3 linked regions of the Tribolium castaneum genome follow. The protein of the gene in region 1 interacts with the protein of each later gene in a pairwise test. Links are inferred from orthologs where the notes say so. Each region holds a gene or a part of one and is shown in the gene's direction. Other genes may lie near its edges. The genes, in order: NC2beta, Taf11 and NC2alpha.

Region 1 (2,669 bases):
GGGGCGAAAACTGCAATAGTGCATTTGCGGAGCTGGAAAACATAACAATTTTTAACATTGTTCCGACAACTAAAAGGCCATAATTTTATTTTTAAAAAACGTCTTTTTTATTGTTGAATTGGTGGTCAAAAGGGCATTGTGTGACAAAACCGATTTCGGGGTGAAATGGGGCGAAAACTGCAATAGTGCATTTGCGGAGCTGGAAAACATAACAATTTTTAACATTGTTCCGACAACTAAAAGGCCATAATTTTATTTTTAAAAAACGTCTTTTTTATTGTTGAATTGGTGGTCAAAAGGGCATTGTGTGACAAAACCGATTTCGGGGTGAAATGGGGCGAAAACTGCAATAATGCATTTGCGGAGCTGGAAAACATAACAATTTTTAACATTGTTCCGACAACTAAAAGGCCATAATTTTATTTTTAAAAAACGTCTTTTTTATTGTTGAATTGGTGGTCAAAAGGGCATTATGTGACAAAACCGATTTCGGGGTGAAATGGGGCGAAAACTGCAATAATGCATTTGCGGAGCTGGAAAACATAACAATTTTTAACATTGTTCCGACAACTAAAAGGCCATAATTTTATTTTTAAAAAACGTCTTTTTTATTGTTGAATTGGTGGTCAAAAGGGCATTATGTGACAAAACCGATTTCGGGGTGAAATGGGGCGAAAACTGCAATAGTGCATTTGCGGAGCTGGAAAACATAACAATTTTTAACATTGTTCCGACAACTAAAAGGCCATAATTTTATTTTTAAAAAACGTCTTTTTTATTGTTGAATTGGTGGTCAAAAGGGCATTGTGTGACAAAACCGATTTCGGGGTGAAATGGGGCGAAAACTGCAACAGTGCATTTGCGGAGCTGGGCAACATAACAATTTTTAACATTGTTCCGACAACTAAAAGGCCATAATTTTATTTTTAAAAAACGTCTTTTTTATTGTTGAATTAGTGGTCAAAAGGGCATTGTGTGACAAAACCGATTTCGGGGTGAAATGGGGCGAAAACTACAATAATGCATTTGCGGAGCCATAAATATTGAAATTAGGTGAAAAAGTGGGAAAAATTAAAAAGCAATTTGTGGTAAATAATTGAGTTTTTCGCTATTAGCATAGTGACTTTCTTAAAATGTCATTTTTAAGAGGGTGTTTAGTGTTTTTTCGGATTTTTATTTTATTAAACGGTTTCAAAGCTGACAACCAAACATACATCTAAGCAAACTGAAACTTATTTTGCTAGTCTGAAACTGGCTTCATGTTCGGGTCTCTTCGGAAATTCGAGGAGCTGGTTTTGGGAGCTGTCTTCACACAAATGACGATCTGTCATTTCGCGGACTCTAACAGCATTATCCTTGACATGTCAAATTGTTCCAGCTGTCCCTATTTGAGGTTAAATATCTCTTTTTTGTTGATAAATATAACAATTTACAATGTCTAATCAAAATAATGCTGGTGGTTTAACAAATACCGAAGACGATGAGCTGACTTTGCCTCGGGCTAGCATTAACAAAATGATAAAGGAGTTAGTCCCATCAGTTCGAGTTGCAAATGAAGCAAGGGAATTAATCCTCAACTGTTGTACGGAATTTATCCATTTGCTTAGTTCTGAAGCGAACGAAATATGTAATCGATTGGACAAAAAGACTATAAATGCGGAACACGTTTTGATGGGTATGTTTCATCATTGTTAAACAACACAAAAGTAAAGTTTTTCGCAGCTTTAGAAAAGTTGGGTTTTGGAGATTATCAAACCGAAGCTGAAGCTGTTCTTAAGGACTGTAAGGCTGTTGCAGCGAAACGCAGGCGACAGAGCACAAGGTTAGAAAATTTGGGAATACCAGAAGAGGAGTTGTTGAGACAACAGCAGGAGTTGTTCGCCAAGGCTAGGCAAGAGCAGGCTTTTGTGGAGCAACAGCAATGGGAGCAACTACAAGCTGCGGCACAAGCCCAAGCTTCGGCTCTACCAAACAATGATGATGATTACGAATGATTTATTAAACGCTTTAAATATTTTGTTATTGTTTTCATTTATTTTTTAATATCTTAGATTTAGGCTTTGTATCAACCACAAACATTCAATAAATAGTGACCCAACGTTTTTTACAAGAAAATTATTCATCTGCAATCTTATGCGTACGAAGTCTAAACAGGATAAAATAACCAATTTCCTAACGCTGAAAAACACTCATTATTACAGTCTTGGTAATGTAGTCCCTGTAAATAATTAAGTAATAAAAATAATTATTAAATAAATGGAAAAAAAACCTTTAAAACTAAGCGCCAACTAAGTGCCAACGTAACATGTTTGCCATGTTTTGATCTTGGCAACACTTTTTTCATTGAAATATCCCCAAGATAATGTCATTTTCTAATAGAAAAAAAGTTATTTAATTTCCATTTAGCACGTAACCGCAGAACAATTTTTATATTTAATACAAAAATAGTTTTTTTGATAAGCAAACTAGAGATACAAAAAGGCGCAAAGCTGCCGTACATTGAGGTTATGTGAATGAACTCGTGTAAGTAAATTCTCCAGATTTTTTCATCATTATCGCAAATAGTGCGCTTACCCAAGCATGATATTTTAGAATGTTGAAAAAAAAGTAAATAAGCAATAAATAATCTTTGAAAAAAGTGCACGATGTCGAGTAGCGAAGTTGGTGTT
Region 2 (4,365 bases), on another chromosome or scaffold:
TCTGAGGAATTTCCACATATTAATAATAATAACAGAAATATAACTTGAGAAAGTCATAGCTGGAACAACCTGTATATGATTCATGCAAAAAATTATAGACAGTTCTCTCAACAACTGGAAAAACAGTTAATTAACCGACATGCAATGTCCATCACCTGATCGGTAATTTATTTAAAACGGTTCAAAACAAAGAACAATGCAACAACAAAAAACCGACCTCATCCCAAACATTTAAAACGCAACTTATTAAACCAAACATTAATTCATTCTGTGACGGAAATTAATTAAATTTGTTGTGTGGGTGTAAAAAATCAATATCAATTAACTCCGATTTATAATTAGTACAAAATGTCTCGTCCCATCTTATTGTTTTTTTTTTCTTTCACGAAAATTGCATCTGAAACCTTTCACATAAAGCTTTATAGATTTTCCCCTTTTCAGTAGCAATAACACTGACGTTTATTTCTACAGTCCCGACAAACTTTACGATTTTCGTTTTTCTTCTGCAATGTGCACTTAGCTCTCGTGCAATTTTACATCCCCAATTCCCACCGTACGAACTTTATGCACCTGCTGTAAATTTTCATCCCTTTTACACAGCTCCCACCAGTCTGTTTCTTTCATTTTTAATAAGTCTGGCGAGGGGCAATTCCGCTAATGGTAAGACTGTTTGATATACAAAAATCGAAAATAATCAAATATTTTTTTTGCTCTGCATCAACATCTATTATTACTACGTATCGCTACGTAGAAACAATCATCTTATTTACGAAAAGTTATACATAATACAAAAAAAAAATTGTACCTAACTCGCAATTCATGCAGCACTCGCTAGGCTCGTGCCGTAAATCACCAATATCCCACCTAACATTTTGTGCAGTTAATAGTAGTTTATTTGAAGTCTCACAAAAAAGAAATTTCGAAAGATAACTTGTATTATAAAGAAGTTGTGTGCTACAAATATGTCCCCAGGTCAAAGTTTGTAATTTTATTATTTTCTAAATTAATCAATAAATGTTTCATTTAATAACTGTTGTCATAAGCAGGGGTGGCCAAAATTAAGTAATAGATCTAAATAATTTTAAAAAAACTTTAGGTACTTGTGACCCTTGAAGTCCCCACAAATTGTAGCAAATAACTGAGCATTTTTTCAGGGAAATAATCTAAACGTGGAATCGCGACTCACCTTCTTGGTTTAGCGGGGTAATGGTGGTGGTTGAAGTGGGAGCCAGTGCAAGAAAATTGGGGCACAGCAAGCCCCATCCAACGCTCTAAGGCCCCCTGCGTGCAGTCGGCGAGCACCTGCGTGAAAAAATTCAAAATAGCCACAATTTCGTGCCTTTCCAAGCGTTCCCAGCTAACGGTTTCGCACACAATGCTGTGGACGCTTGGGTGATCAAGGGGGCTCCAGGCCCGATTTGACATTTTGACAGTTGTCATCCAGCAAACAAAAGCCACCAACTGGGATACTTACAACGTGATTTTGTTGCCAAATTCGTACGATTATCACACTAGAACATTGTCAAAAGCGGTTAATTGCGAATTAACTGGTCCCGCAATAAAACAACGAAAAAAAAGCGTTTTTGTGTCGTTCACCGCGACGAATCGACCCGACACGTTATCACAATTTTTATCACTGCGAATTGGGCCTCAAACTCGAGAGAAATTCATCGTTTCATTTACTTCGCCTTATTTTACACACAATAAACAAAATTATTGTCAAATATGAGTGTGATATATTGACTGGAATTTGACACTGGCGCCACCTCAGATTTGCACGGAACTACAGAACTACCAGTAGAGGGAGCAGCGATCGCTCATTTTTTCTGTCAAAATTAACACATAACCTTACTTCATTTCCAAAAAAATAAATAGATAATGTGAAAAAAAGACACAATGGACAACATTTTTGCGAAACCTCCAGCCTCCACGAGTCAAATCATCAAAGCTGACCCCAACTACGAGTCCATGGACGAAGACGACGACTCCACTGTGGAGACAGTCAAAGTCGAGGAGACCCAGCTCACGTCTGAAATTCACATCAAAGACGAAGAAAATGTGTACCTGGAGTCGGATATAATAATGCCGGAAGCCCCTCAAAGTAGCAGCGCTCCGGCTAAGAAGAAAGAGGTGAAGACTAGGAAGGAGATGGAGGAGGAAGAGCGCGAGAAAATGCAGTAAGTTGGTGTAAAGTGGGGTTTACTGAGGGTTTGTTGTAAGGGTTCTAGTCTCGAATTTCACCGAGGATCAGCTGGATCGATATGAGATGTACAGGAGGTCGGCGTTTCCCAAAGCTGCAATTAAAAGGCTGATGCAGACGATTACAGGGTGTTCTGTTTCCCAGAATGTGGTCATTGCTATGGCTGGGATTGCCAAGGTCTTTGTTGGAGAGGTTGTGGAGGAAGGTGAGGATAATTCAAAAAAATATTTTTTTTATTTTCTCTATTACACCAAAACTATTCGAAAATGTGGAATTATTTTGGTCTAAGCCTATGTAAAATGATCCGAGGAATCGATGGGCGCCGAGAAAATCTCCAAATTCCCAATAGTTTTTTAGTTATGATTTTTTTAAGTATTAACCAGACAGCTTTCCAATGAAATTACGTCTAATAGTTTAATTTTTTTTATTTTTGTGAAGATAAGTGCCTTGACCACTAAAATTATGGTAAATTTTAGTTGACAATTGAGACCATCAGCTCGAGATTGAAAATACATTCGGAAGCTCAAATAACGTGAAAATACGTATTAACAACTTTTTTCTACAGTTGCCACTGCTTAAAGCACTCTTTAAGCTGTAAATTTATTATTATTTTTTTGATTAATTCAAAAGAAGTCGATACGAAAAAGCTTACACACCTCTTTCCGGCAGTGGTGTCACTCTAAAAAATTAGTAAAACAGTCCAAAGACTTAGAAATGTCAAACTCTTTTTTTGTGTGCAAAAAAAATCAAACATGTAAGTATTTGTGTAATTAATTATTACGCTCGATAAGACTTTCTTTATGGAATAGTGGTCTAACGAACCATTGCACTGTGGACTATGTAAAAAGTAAAAAAAATAACTATGTAAAATTACAAAAAAGTTAATTCCCTATTTTTTTTAAAATGCCCTTTTGGTTTAGCGAAGAACAGGAAAAAAACATCAATTTGAAGAGTTATAAAAAATTGTCTTGGAGCCGTGCTTTGAAATTTTAGGTCGCAGTTAAACAAAAGTTCTAAGATTATAATTTTGAAAAAAATTTTTCTTTTCTGTGCCCTACTGTTACAATAAAAAACCGATAATAAATAATAAATTCAAGACAATTGGTCGCCTCTAACAATATTTTTAAATAGCAAACAGATATGAGTAAGGAAATGGCAGTAAAAAACAATAAATCATAAACTAGAAGATTTTTCTAAAAGCTTTTTTTGTTTTTGCCCATTTGCCTATTAAGTGCCAATTTTTAAGTTTTTTTAATTTTTGAGTTAAAAGTTGCAACGTCGTAAATTAAAAAAACAAACTTAAACAAACAATGTACAATATTTCTAAATGCCCTTCGTTTTCAGATCAATGATGAATCTATTTTTTTTGATAAAGTCTCAATTGACATATTTTTAAATACAGTACTACTAGAAAAATCATTCTTTGTCACTGTACAATCACATTTTTGCTCACTAATACTCATTTACGTAATTAAAAAATAACTAGGAGCATTGCCGATTTTATAACTCAAGTCGGAGGCAAAATCTATACGTTAAAGATATGAAAATGACATAATAATTATTCCCAATTGTTATCTATCTATCCTGTTACTTTTCACGTTTATTCTATTTAAAGTAATGAAGCCTTTTGCGTTACATTCTGTCAGTAAGGTTTCGTTATATCACGGAATTTATTCCGTTTTTTGCAATTTTCTTAAGATTTGAGTATTACTTAAGACTTGTATTAGGTAAATTTAATTAAACTTGCACAAATTCAGATTTTTATTCCTGTTTAATTTGATGCTTAACAATGTAAAATAAATAATAATTTAATTCGGATTAGTTTAATTTTTTATTACCAAAATTTCATTCACTTTCTGCAATGAAGTCTTACGACTTCTTATTAAATAAATGACACCCACTTTTGTTGTAATTAGTGAGTTTTAAACCACTTTGTTATTACTGTTACGAATAACTAACACAAAACTTACAATTGTTTTTTTAACGGATCCAAGACCACTTTTCAATTGTCGTTACGTGACATCAACTCTGAAATGTATTCTAATAACGAAAAAATGCACACAATTGTTTTAATTAATTAGATCATTCATACGTCCGGGGTATCTTATCTTCTTGTAAATATTAATAGTTCTAGTGCTCTAATTGAGTAAAGAAATTAGTAGACA
Region 3 (3,398 bases), on another chromosome or scaffold:
TTTTCCTTCAAGTCTTTATCCAGCCGTTCCGACATTTCCGCCGCTAGTTTCCCCAGCCAGTGTTGCACGTTTTCCTCCGTTACAAGCGCAGTTTTTCCCGGGAAATTTTTGCAACAAGCGATGGATTTTGCGATTAATTTTGTAGTGACAGGTTCCATATCAATACCTCGGGCAATATTATGTAACCAGTTGCTAAAATATTGTTTAGTTTAAGTTTTAAGTTTAAATTAGACATTTTTGCGTCATAGATACCCAGTTTTTTCGTCATATTTTTGCACCAAAAGCTTCTCTGGAATTTTGGCTAATTGGCCCATTGTTGTAACGTGAAAATCCTCCGAGAGAGTCTGCCCGAATTTCCCCCCCAAATTCTTCACTTTATTAATTGGGGTGGTTTCAAAAAATTTCTCAACCTCTTCCTGGGGCAGAATGGTTTGTTTGTTGGGCTTGTGCAAGCTGCAGACTAGTTTTGCCAAGATTTTATTGTGAGCAATGCCTGCAGAACACTTGTATCCTAAATCATCAATAAATAAAATCAAAAATTTGGTACAGTAACTTAATACCAGTAACTTTGAAAACTTCGCGTCGAATTTCTTCAGTCACAAGACCTCCAACTGCCAGTTTTAAATTGGGAATGGAATATTCCTTGTTAGTAATAGCATTATGAAGAAAATCTTCCAGTTCGCAACCCACAACAAAAGTGTTACTTAGATTAATTAAAGTTAAATCATCCAGGCCTTTTTCAATCCGTTTTTCTACAATTTCCGTGATATCAAGGTAGGCCTCGTCAACTGAAGCACGTTGAAGCAGAGGTGTAAAAGTCAGCAAAACATCCGCAACCCTTTTTCCCGCATCTCGATATCTACAATTTTTTTTAATATAAACCACTTATAATTAATAATGTAATTTTCATAATACTAAAAAGTATTAATAAAAATAAGCATTTAGTAGCATAAGGTTTTATTTTTTGTGGTTGTGTGTCACTTAAAAATAACAATTTTTTCACAAACCTGGTTACAAAAGCATGTGACACCACTTACTTGGTTAAGTCAGCTTTTCCTCTTAGTTCTGGAACCTGCACCAAATTAATACTCGGGCACTTCTTCTTAGCCTCAAAGCCCCTCATGTGTCTCGTAACCCCCTCGTCACGAGCCGGATAATTAACAGCTATAATGCTGAGAGAAACAAGTTGAGACCAAAGTTTAATGCCCACTTACCCGCCCCCTTGCCATGCATTATATTGGACCACGGCGATCGGTTTGCCCTCCAAGGCCGGGTTCAACTTCTCCTCAACCTGGCAATAGAAACAATCCATGTCCACCAGAACCACAACACGGTCCGTGGGCCCCATTCCACACAACAAATTAAAAACTGTCCCAATCTTGATCTTAACAATTGAATAAGTAATTGCAAGTGGAATGAACGGTTGAATTACTTATTTATTCAAGAAATTGTGAAATTATTTTCATTTTTTGTTTCCCACCATTTCAGGAAAAAATGACAAGTGACAATTATTTTGACAAGTGTGCAAAAAATCCCTAACAACATATAACCTCAAACTGTCATTTTTCAGAAAGTGATTGTTGACAAATTGAAACGAAATCAAAGATTTTTAGATATGCCTTCAAAAAAGAAAAAATACAATGCCAGATTTCCAGCAGTAAGTCGTTCCAAATTTTGGAAATTCCTTATTTAATTGGGGGATTTTCAGGGCCGTATTAAAAAAATAATGCAGACTGATGAAGAGGTTGGAAAAGTGGCACAAGCTGTACCAGTTATAATCTATATCCTTTTAATTATTTGACTGTTTATTATTTAATTTAAGCGAGTGTTTCACGTTTGTGCAAAGCAGTTAATTGCGTTTGTCTCGCACGCACTGTTAGGGCTTCACAAAAGTATTTTTTTTTTGACTCTCTTATCGTAGCCACTATTGCAATAAAAAATACAGATATAATTTTATCAGCTCAGTGGTGATCGTAAAATGAAAACAAGTCTGAGGTTTCACTTTAGTAATATTTCCTTAACGCTGCTTACCCCGAACGCTGGAGTTGTTTGTGGAGTCGCTGCTGACGAAGTCAATGCAAATAACGCAGTCCCGCAACGCCAAGACTTTAACTCCGTCCCACATGAAGCAATGTATATTATCCGAGAGTCGTTTCGACTTTTTAAAAGACTTAGTGAAAAATATCCCTGATGCAAGTGCACAAGAAGATAACAAAAACAACCTGATGTTCGAAGCGCAACAGCTGCAGGAGGCCGAGTCAAAACAGGAGCCTGCGGCAGCAGTGGAGGCTTCGAAGCCGGAAGTAACGGCGAATTTTTACACAGAGCAGAGTACGTCCACGGCTAGAACACCAGTTATCCAGTATGGACCTAAAGTAGCGCAAGTAGAGACGAAAAAGTTCAATTTCTCAGTTAATAATTTGATCGAGCCGGCGAAGGAAGGACCCAAAGTGCGCATTTCGGTGGCGGAACCCGTACCTGTGCCCCCTTTAGTACCAACAAGGGGGCCCGCTAATAGTGTCCAAGAAAATACGCCGCCAGTCAACTGCGACAATATCCCGCCTCTTATACCTATTTCACACCATTATTACAATCAGAACACTGAAGACACTCTGTGTATTGATGAAGATTATGATAATTAGATTGTTCTATATTTATCACCGATTTATCAGTTCATTTGTATCAAGTAAACGTAACTACCTACCTGACGACTTTTCCGATGACCTAACAGTGAAATATACAGTTGTTATTAAAACGTTTTGTATTGGGTAAAAAAATACATTAGTACATTATGTACAATTTTAAAAATATTAAAGTATTATAATCAATACCTTATATACATACAACTACTTTTTTAACTCCTCTGAAGGACCTCATGAGCCTGCCAATCGTTACTTTTATTTATATAAGTTAGAAATTAAATAATAAAGTCATTAAATTATTACATCTTGTTTTTTACATTATTATGGGCACAAGTTCTCATCACGGCGCATATAATTTGAACTATGGAAAATAATACAAGGCGACTTACTCTTAATATTGCAAATTGTAAGTGGGCGATTAGTTACACTGTTAAAACTTAAATAAGGTAACTACAATTTACATTTGTTACATAAACCTATTCGAAAGAATAAATAAAGGAAATAAGTTAATTACAGACTTTTCAATTCTATTTTAACAAGTGTTAGATAATACAAACGCACTCTTAGACTATGAACGACTTATCAGTCTGGGAAAACCGAACCGAAGTTGAATTTTTTAATTTGTGTTTTTTTTTACTTCCATCGTTCGACATGTCCAGTGTAGACGTATTTTGTCCGATATATTGACACTCGGGGGAAGAAAATTAAATTCCACAACTTGTCCAAAGGGTCATTGAATTTTTAATGCTGATAAAC

The links.
Region 2: the proteins of NC2beta (region 1) and Taf11 interact in binary tests that used the Drosophila melanogaster proteins (3 or more experiments, as listed by UniProt). The link is inferred for Tribolium castaneum from reciprocal best matches to the Drosophila melanogaster genes NC2beta and Taf11.
Region 3: the proteins of NC2beta (region 1) and NC2alpha interact in a two-hybrid assay, tested with the Drosophila melanogaster proteins (2 studies listed by BioGRID, with this or other methods). The link is inferred for Tribolium castaneum from reciprocal best matches to the Drosophila melanogaster genes NC2beta and NC2alpha.

What each region holds. Positions count from the first base shown.
Region 1 is NC_087398.1:1,910,155-1,912,823, reverse strand, and holds NC2beta (protein Dr1), read left to right. Parts: upstream 1-1,315; 5' UTR 1,316-1,434; coding exon 1,435-1,675; intron 1,676-1,722; coding exon 1,723-1,994; 3' UTR 1,995-2,017; downstream 2,018-2,669. Other genes in the region: uncharacterized protein LOC103313276, read left to right, coding at 2,646-2,669. UniProt on the Drosophila melanogaster protein: Bifunctional basic transcription factor. Activates transcription of DPE (Downstream Promoter Element) containing promoters while repressing transcription of promoters which contain TATA elements.
Region 2 is NC_087394.1:5,383,727-5,388,091, reverse strand, and holds the start of Taf11 (transcription initiation factor TFIID subunit 11), read left to right. Parts: upstream 1-1,468; 5' UTR 1,469-1,896; coding exon 1,897-2,177; intron 2,178-2,220; coding exon 2,221-2,405; intron 2,406-4,365. UniProt on the Drosophila melanogaster protein: The TFIID basal transcription factor complex plays a major role in the initiation of RNA polymerase II (Pol II)-dependent transcription.
Region 3 is NC_087394.1:32,793,352-32,796,749, reverse strand, and holds NC2alpha (uncharacterized protein NC2alpha), read left to right. Parts: upstream 1-1,526; 5' UTR 1,527-1,615; coding exon 1,616-1,657; intron 1,658-1,708; coding exon 1,709-1,781; intron 1,782-2,031; coding exon 2,032-2,642; 3' UTR 2,643-2,835; downstream 2,836-3,398. Other genes in the region: PolH (DNA polymerase eta), read right to left, coding at 1-192, 253-511, 561-859, 1,038-1,172, 1,215-1,348.